Neurospora crassa OR74A: one gene and its partner. The protein of the gene in region 2 purifies or fractionates together with the protein of the main gene of each other region. This does not show direct contact. Links are inferred from orthologs where the notes say so. Each region holds a gene or a part of one and is shown on either strand. Other genes may lie near its edges. The genes, in order: NCU09552 and NCU05194.

Region 1 (4,585 bases), on a different chromosome or scaffold from region 2:
GCGTCCTGCGAGAAGCGGCGGCGGACTTGCGCCGGAGCTGGTCTTCGGCTGAGCCGCCGTCCTCAAAGGTGGGAGGGGAGAACTCGGCCTTGTTGATGAGGTCGATGGTATCTTGGATCGCCTCGGCGGTGTGGCTGCCTGGGAGAATCCAGGTCGAGTCGGGGGTCTCGTCGAGAGTAGGCGTGAGACGCTCCATACCGACTAGACGCATGAGAAGACGGAGGTGCGGGTTCTTGAACATGGCTGTGCGGCGAGCCTCGGTATCAGGGCGGATCGTGATATGTGGTGGTGCTGATTTGTTGGATCTCTCGTCGGCAGCTTCACCATCAGCCGCCCCCTCGGTAGTGGCTGCCATGGCCTTGTCTACGTTCTCCCATGCTTGCCGCTCACTCATTGCACTTGTCAGCTGATCCTTGAGCCACTGCAGATGCTCGACTTGCTGTTTGTCGATGAGTACGCTGACCGCAATGCCAATCTGCTCGTCGCGCTCTGTGGCTCGCTTGAACTCCAGCTCGGCACCAGGTCGTGGCGTAGTTGTGGTGACAGGCTTCTCATAGCCGTGCTCAAGGAAGTGCGTCGTGCTGCCAATCTTGGAAAAGAGCAACTCGGTGAACAACGCAGGCCGCTCTTGAAGCTTTTTGACACATTTCCGAATGATCTGCTTGGAGAGCTCCTCCCATTCCTTGAACATCGGCGAGCTTTTGTCGAGGGGCTCGGGACCTTGGACCATGTTGTAAAAGAGATTGATGATGTCTAGTCGGAATAGCATGATGCTCAGCTCGAGTTTGAAGGCAACGCGGTAGAAGTAGCGATGAGCGCGCTTCAGCTGTGCGTCGTTCAAATCCCGGTAGAATTTGGTGAAGGCGACAAATGTGTCGACAACACCCTGGGGAGCGAATCGAATGGCGAATTTCCCAAACTCGAACTTGCGCTCCTGAGTGACCCGCTCTGCATGTTGCTCATCGTCCCCAGAATCATCGGCATCATTGTCCTCGGGAACGCCAACGTCTTCTGCTTCCTCACCGGCGGCTCTAGCTGCAGCAACAGCAGCAGCAGCTTTGGCAGCCTTCTTCTTTCGGCGAGCTCGCTTCCGTGAGCGCACCTGCAAATCGACATTTTGCTTAGAGTAACCTTCTAAAATGCGGAGGAAAGTGTGGACAAGCTCGGTCGCGGCATCAAGATATTCGAAGCCTTGATCCTTGTATGTTCGAGCAATATTCGCGATAAGGTCGTGGGTTGTCTCCTCGTAAAAGAGACGGCTCAGGGTGTTTTCGGCAATCTCCTGGTCTTCCTCGTTGGGAGACTCTGACATCTCCTGGACTGTGAGGAAGATCTGGGTGTAACAGCGCATGACGGACGTGAGCAGTTGCCAATCCTTATCACTATAGGACCGGTCAAGCGCACGATTCATGGAAGCGAACATTTCCTGTTGGAGCACAGCAGCAACGAGGTTAAAACTGTTCACCTCCTCTCCGGCTGCGGACGTCGACTTCGACTCGTCCCTCTTGGCCTTTCTCCGCATCCGCTCGGCTTCGAGGAACCAGGCGACAAGGTAAAAGAACTGGCTCTTATGCTGGTTCAATGCATGCAATGCCTCCCGATCGATCGATTGCCTCACGTGCAGAAACAAGGGGTTGAAACCGGAGTCGAGGAAGTCTTGGACGAATGATCGCAGCTGCTGACGAGCTCTTTCATCTAGCGTCACCGGAGGGCCAAGGTCCTTGGGCTCCATCTCGGGTTTCCTCGCTCTTCTTGGCGGTCTGAATGTTTTGGAGTTATCCATCTTCCTCTCTCGCGTTTTTGCGTCCAAAAGAGCCTCTTGGCCAGATACCGTCACCATCTTGCCATCTGCTCGTTTCACCCAGATCATGGTCCCAAATCGACTGTGCCGAGTGGTGGTGGTTTTGTTGTAGGATTTTAGCATAGCAGCCTCCTTGCGCATCTCCGATGCCAGCTCTTGCCCCTTGGCTTTGTTGAGTTGCTTTTCACTGACGAAGAGCGAGCTGGGGTCAACTCTTTTTACAAGATGAAAGATGATTTCCATGATAACTACATCTTCGGTGCGGAAGTCCTCGCCCATGTTGGAGGCAAGGGTCAGCAGAGTGAGAAATATGTCTTGATACGAAAAGGCATCAATGGTTGCCGACCTGGATACCTGTGTCTCGTCGCCTTCGCATTTGACACCTTGCGGGGGTGCGATCATGGCAACGTTCCTCAAAAAGAAGAGAATGAGCTTGATGATGGCCTGGTCACGGGGTGTCCGCTCGCCGATAGGCATGGCCATGGAGGGAAGGGCTACCCTGACGGCGGTGTTGAGGATGGGTATCGCATCGAAGTTTATGATGGCGCGCTTGTAGCCAAGCTGGGCAAGCTGCAGAACGGGCATGTGACGATGGTGGTTGATGGTCATTTCGGCGCGCTCCTTCTCTATGGGCCAAGTAAGGGGCACCATGACCTCGAAACACGCCAGAGCAATACGGGCCTTGTACTTGCTGTCGGTTTCGCTTTGAGGCCATAATGTCAGGATCTGGAGCAGATCGCCGCCGACGAGGTTCGCTTCAGCCAGACATCTGGCGACGTCCATGCGATTGGTCTTTTCATCGTAGAATCGGATCCATTTCTTCAGGTCGCGCAAGACGTCTAGCGCTTCGTCACCGAGCTTGTAGCTTCCATCATCGTCCGCGCTGTAACCACCGAGCTATTCGGGTCGCCAGAGTCAGTACATCCGTGTATATAACGAGTCCAGAAGTGGACATACCGCAGAAACCAGGTTGGTGATGTGCGCCCGCACTTCCGGATGGACGACATCGTCGTTGATGTCTGCGGCCTCCATTTTGCGCAGAAATCACGGCGTCCAAGACCAGAACGGAGTCATACGAGTACTAGACAGACTCTCCCCAACTCTCAGCTTGTCTTGGAGGTCGTTTTGTTATCGCATGGATGGTGGCATTGGTCGGGCGCACTTTGTCGGGACGGGACACGCGTTTGTGGTGGTGGGAGACGCGCCGACCGTGTCGTACTTTTTAATGGAAATTGGTGGTATCTTGGTCTTGGCCTGCTTATCTCCCCAAGCGTTTTGTCGGACTGTTTTAAGATACCTGGGTAAGTAGGTACCTAATGTACCTAGCTACCTACTAGAGATACCTCTGCAGCAGTACCTGTGCACCCCGATTTCGACCTCGTGGAGAGCTGCGGAGTTACCCCTGTGGACGGGCAATCAACGACAGCCGAGGATCTTGAGTTGGCGCGGGAATCATGCCCGCAATTGCCCCCCCTGAACGACATGCTTGTACCTCTAGGTAGCGTACATAGTACTCCATACGCGCTAAAACCGACCCCATTTTCCCCGCCTAAGAAAAGGCTAGAGCCGCCCGTAGCTCCTGTACGGCAGTATGTTATGTCCCCCCCGTGGCCCGGGTCGGGCTTGTGACGTCGAGTTGGAGACGAGGACGGCCGAGGTTAACCGAATCCGACAACTTCACATCGTCGCATTCGCATTCTCTAGAGGTGCCCTGGTTGCCTACCTAGGTGTAGTCTTCCGATTTTTCTGTCCCTTTCCTTTCAGTCTCTCTCAGTCACAGTGTCTGCTTTGTTTACTTTCGCCGTGACGATCTCGCAAAATGCTTGCTAGAACCCTCGTCCAGAAGCTGCCCATGGGCGCTCGCGCCTTCAGCTCGACATGCGCCCGCAACGCTGCCGAGGTCAAGAGGCTCGGTGTCGTTGGCGCCGGCCAGATGGTGAGTCCGGCCCATATCATTCATGCCCATGTCTTCAACAACGGCAACGGCTGACTTGTCCTCCTTCTCCTTTAGGGCCTGGGCATCGCCCTCGTCGCCGCCACCAAGGCCAGAGTCCCCGTCACCCTTGTGGATGCCTCTGAAACGTCTCTAGACAAGGGCCTTGCATTCGCCGACAAGCTCCTCAGCAAGGATGTGGCCAAGCAACGCATCACTCAGGATGAGGCGGACGCCGCCCGCGCGCTCCTCCAGCCCACCACCATCCTCGAGGACCTGGACAGCGTCGATTTTGTGATTGAAGCTGTGCCTGAGATTCCCAAGCTCAAGTTCGACATCTTCTCCAAGCTGGCCGAGATCTGCCCTAAGCACGCCATCTTAGCCACCAACACCTCTTCCATCTCCATCACGCGCATCGCCGCCTCAACCACCAAGGACCCCAACGACACCTCCAACAGCTCGCGCGTCGTGTCCACGCACTTCATGAACCCCGTGCCCGTTCAGAAGGGAGTCGAGATCATCAGCGGTCTGCAGACCAGTCAGGAGACGCTTGACACGGCCGTCGAGTTTTGCAAGAAGCTGGGCAAGATCCCTTCCATCTCCAAGGACAGCCCGGGATTCTTGGCTAACCGCATCTTGATGCCTTACATCAATGAGGCCATTATCTGCCTGGAGACTGGCGTTGGCGACCGTGACTCTATCGATGCTATTATGAAGAACGGCACCAACGTGCCTATGGGCCCCCTCCAGCTGGCTGACTTTATCGGTCTCGATACCTGTTTGGCTATTATGAAAGTATTGTACGAGGAGACGAGCGATTCCAAGTATAGGCCGAGCGTGCACTTGCGCAA
Region 2 (4,569 bases):
CCTTGGAGACGATCAGGTTCACAATGGAAATGTACTTGTCGTACGAAATCGTCTGCTTCTCGCGATGCGCTTGCGAGGGTGCCGCAGACGGCTGTCGGGCAGCTTCACCACCCATGTCGACGTCGCCATCTCCGTCCATATCGGCCTCGGGCACGCGCGAAGCAGCGGCGGCGGCGGCTTGCAAGGCCTCGGGGGAGTCGGCGGGTGGTTCGGGAGCGTCTTCCTCGTCGTCTACTTCGACGTCGTCGTGTTCGACGGAAATGATCGACTGCCGCAAAAGGTGGAACGCCTCATTAACAAAATCGGGCGTGATTTCCTCGACGCAGTTGGCCTTGGCAATGGCTTCAGACAGACGGATCATACTCTCCAGCTGTCTGACGGTGATTCGGTAGCTGTTCTTGCCGATGCCGCCCTGGGCGTCGTCGGCGCGCAGGTCCTTGTAGCGCTGCACGAGGACTTCCTTGGCTTCGTCGGTGAACTCGGGGCGGAAAGTGCGAGCGAAACGAATGTACCGCTGCAGTTGCTCGGTGGAAAACTCGGGCTCGATGGCTTGGTCCCGGTTTTGGTGCAGGCCGACAATGTGTTCGGCCAAGTGGCGGTCGACCTGCTCGTTGCACTCGTCGAGGATGACGAAGAACAGATCGAAACGCGACATGATGGGCGCCGACATGTTGATGTTGGCGCGCAGGGTGGTCTTGCGGTTGTAGCGACCTCCGACCGGGTTGGCAGCTGCTAGAATCGAGGTTCTGGCATTAAGCGTGGCCTGAATACCGGCCTTGGCAATGGAAATGGTCTGCTGTTCCATGGCTTCGTGGATGGCAACCTGATCGGCAATGTCCATCTTGTCGAACTCGTCGATGCAGCAGATGCCGTTGTCAGCGAGCATGAGGGCACCGGCTTCAATGGTGAATTCACCGGTTTCTTCATCCTTGACCACGGCAGCCGTAAGACCAGCGGCGGAAGAGGCCTTGCCGGAGGTGTAGACTGCCCGGGGAGCAAAGTTGACGACGTACTTGAGAAATTGGGATTTGGACGTCGAGGGGTCGCCGACGATGCAGATGTTGATGTCGCCACGGAGTGCCATGCCTTCGGCGGTGGTTTTGGAGACACCAGACAAAAGCTGCAAGAGGATACCCTTCTTGACGACTTCGTGACCGTAGACTGTGGGTGCCAAGGACTGGACAAGGCGTGCGTAGATGTGGTCGCTGTGCACCATGGCACGGAGGTCTTCCATCTCGGCAGAGGTGTAGGAGCTCAGCAGAGCTTCCTGGGCTTCCTTGATGGTCTCGGCTGTTTCGGCCGCCGCGCTGCTGTTGAGGGTACCAACAATGTCCATCAGAAGGGCATCGCCAGAAGCACCGATTGCCGACACATCAGGCGTGACCATGCAAGCCAGGAACGCCAAACGGTAGGTAAGATCGCGCACACCCAGGGCCTTGAGACCAGAAACACCACTGCCACCGGCATCCGCACCCCGATCATCACGCACCGACACGTTCCGCACACCCGGCAGACCCAATTGACTGACATCCGGCACCACGATCAGCGCACCCGTAAAGATACACTTTTCGCCGGCCTTGGCGCGATCCACCAGTTCGCCGCGCAAAATCACATCCATTGTCCTGGGCATGCTTCCTGTGGGAATCTCGCTACTGTTTTCCTGCACGCGCACCTTTTGCCAGTCCACAAAGGTGCTCTGCCTGATGTCCAGCTGCCACGAAGTGCGGTTCTGGCACGTCAAGTTGGGACACTGCGTCGGTTCGGTGTATCGGAACGTCTGCTCGACATTGGGAACGACGGCGTAGCAGGCCTGGCAGACAAAGGTGGCCAGAGCCAGCTCGGGCCGGACCTCGGAGGTGCGTGTGACGGTGCCGCTAATGGCAAGAAGCTGGCCGACGTTGCGGGCGCGCATGGAGCGCACGCGCGAGACGAGGGGCAGGTTGTAGAAGGCAATGGCAAAGAGCTTGTCGGTTTGTTGGTTGGGGTTCTTGATGCCAAAGTCGGACTGGCTCGCGTTGGCGCCTCGTGTGCTGGCGGCTGTCGTGGAGTGGGCGCTGGATGCCGTGGGCTGGCGATGTTCGTTAAAGTATTGGGGTTCGTGGGCGGCGATTCGGCTATGGAGGGCGGCTGTGAGGAAGGGAAGGAAGCGGTAGTACGAGTTGGTGATGGCCTCGGCGAGGGTGCCGTCTTGCCATGAGGCGACGTGCTTGTAGTCGACGTAGAAGGTGGATAACGAGTAGGTCCTCATGCCGTGGATCTGGGCGACGTAGTACTTGTCTGTCGTGACTGCGCTCGAGGTTGGTTGGCCGGACGAGGTGGGTGTTTCGACGTAGCTGGCGCCGGTGTCAGCAAGTACACCAAGTAGTACATGTTTGGCTGGTTTCTTGGATCTTCATACCCGTCAATGAAGGCCTCAAAGGCTCTCTGGACCATGACACCAATCCTATCCTGAACCCTGGGGATGTCGGCAATGTTCCGAGGCCTCGAGCGGACGGGGACCTGATCATCAGCGAACCCTTCCTCGCCCTCGTCTTCGCTGGCCGCTCCGAGGCTTTCTGAGGGGGGGCCTCGTGGACGAGCTGAAGAGGAACTGGGATGACCGTTTCGCGCCCTGGGAGTAGCTCCTCCTCGCGAAGCGATTCCGTCCGACATCATGAAGCCAGCATCGCTGGAGTGTGCCATTGGTGTTGCCATTGTGTTATGGTGTTGCTGTGGTCCACCTGGGTATCAAGGAGAGTTGGTGGAGATTGGAAGTTGTCGAGGTCAAGATTCAAGTAGAGATATGAGAACCCAAGGGACCAAGGACTGACTGGTTAGTGAGTGGAAGGAGGGGAAACTGTGACGAGGGGAGGGGAACTGAGTCCTCCCTGTCAAGAAAACACGATAAAACACGCGCCAGAAAAGCTGAAGCGCGCCAAGACCAGGAAGCTGGCGCGCACAAGTGGGGCCCTCTTTAATGGCTTCGCTAGTGGGATATAGATTGGATAACTGCATACCACCTGCACTTGGCCACAGAAATTCAACCTCTGGGGTGTATCGCCGAAAGCAATACACTTGCTGTAACGAAGCATCGCCATTCGACTCTGCCTTGTTCGTACGACGACCCGACTTGCCCTACCAAGGATTCAGCCTCCTGGTAGAAGTTGCCTACTATGTCTTTTAGTGATTCCAGGCCTTTCGTGTGCCGAATGAGACCTTTTGCAATTCTCTCCCAACTATTTTCATTCATTTTGATTTGAGAAATCCTCCAGCAAGATGCTCCTTCCTCACAAGCCGTTGCAAAATGGGTGATGCTTCTTCCATCCATTGAACAATTCTGTGTGTATTGACGAAGCACAATTTTCTCGAGCTGATGCCCTCTTCCCGCTGTCGGCACTCTTTATCAAGTGCCACACAATTGTCGTCGCTCCCTCGGTTCCTCGAATGCAGTGTTCCCTCCCACATCAGCCAAACTGAACTGTCAATCGCCCTCGTCCAATTTCCTCAGCCTTCGGTGACATCCATCAACCAGCTTGCCATGGTATCTTGCCATTAAAACCGGCCAGCTGCCAGGTCAAGTCCGTGGTGGTTCTCTATAACATCCGAGTTATGTATGTATGTCAGACAAGGTACAACACAAGAAGGTGAGTATAGTGAGGTCGAACCAGTCAGAAGTGGTCCCGGTCATGTTCGGTCCCAAACTCCAACATCTCCGAGACATACAAGCTGCAGTGTTACCACAATTTCATCTGGGCTGATAGGCTTTAGCCGAGAGCATGCCAGCCCTTGACCACCCACATCAACCCGCGGCCAAGAACACATGTCCTTGCTTGACGTGACGACCTTCTGCAATCTGGTATCCGCCTGCCCCTCCCCCCGATCAGATCTCTGGGCTGAAACGCCATGTAGGTGGGCAGCGTGGCGGCGAACCTGATCTATCTTTGCCATCACCCCCCTTCCTGACGTCTCAGCTTCTTCTACCACTCCACAAACAACAGCAATGTTAGATCAGTAGTCTCTTGACATCAGAATGGCTTGACAAGCGAAACAAAGACACTATCAGCTGACTCGGCCAAACAAAGCTTTGTGTCAGAGAAGATCGTATCTGGGCCCGCATTCAGTCAGTCAAAAGTCCAAGATGAACAGCAATACGGACTTCACTCAGCTATGGCATCGCCATTTGGCCAACCTCCGCCATGACTTCTCGGCTGGAGCTGTTGACAACGCTCGTGTACACGCTTCGCCTTCGAAGCCGGCAAGGAGCATGGATGGAAGAGGAGACAGTGAAGCTACGCCCAGGGGCGCTGATCATCATGACATCCAAGCGACGTCGCTCCCCGTTGGACTCGAGTGGGACGGAGACATGGAGATGGTGATTGGTGCTTTGCAGGAGCTTGAGGTGTAAGTTCGGCCAACCTGACATCTGATCCCAAGACAAAACGGCTAACGGACATCCGTAACAGTCAAAGCCCTATCACCGCCACCGAAGCCCTCAGTCCCGATTCTCCGTGGTTCAGAGACCATCATCTTCGCCGTGATGCCGATGGTGATGGGGATATAGAGATTGAGACTGTGGCGTCGTCACCGCAA

The links.
Region 1: the proteins of NCU05194 (region 2) and NCU09552 purify together in Saccharomyces cerevisiae (affinity purification with mass spectrometry; 3 studies listed by BioGRID, with this or other methods). This does not show direct contact. The link is inferred for Neurospora crassa OR74A from reciprocal best matches to the Saccharomyces cerevisiae genes MCM6 and TOF1.

The regions. Positions count from the first base shown.
Region 1 is NC_026505.1:4,563,950-4,568,534, forward strand, and holds the start of NCU09552 (topoisomerase 1-associated factor 1), read right to left. Parts: upstream 3,003-4,585; 5' UTR 2,834-3,002; coding exon 2,759-2,833; intron 2,699-2,758; coding exon 1-2,698. Other genes in the region: NCU09553 (3-hydroxybutyryl CoA dehydrogenase), read left to right, coding at 3,621-3,737, 3,813-4,585. UniProt on the Saccharomyces cerevisiae protein: Forms a fork protection complex (FPC) with CSM3 and which is required for chromosome segregation during meiosis and DNA damage repair. FPC coordinates leading and lagging strand synthesis and moves with the replication fork.
Region 2 is NC_026504.1:5,796,917-5,801,485, forward strand, and holds the start of NCU05194 (DNA replication licensing factor mcm6), read right to left. Parts: upstream 2,881-4,569; 5' UTR 2,695-2,880; coding exon 2,399-2,694; intron 2,334-2,398; coding exon 1-2,333. Other genes in the region: NCU05193 (hypothetical protein), read left to right, coding at 4,118-4,380, 4,443-4,569. UniProt on the Saccharomyces cerevisiae protein: Acts as a component of the MCM2-7 complex (MCM complex) which is the putative replicative helicase essential for 'once per cell cycle' DNA replication initiation and elongation in eukaryotic cells.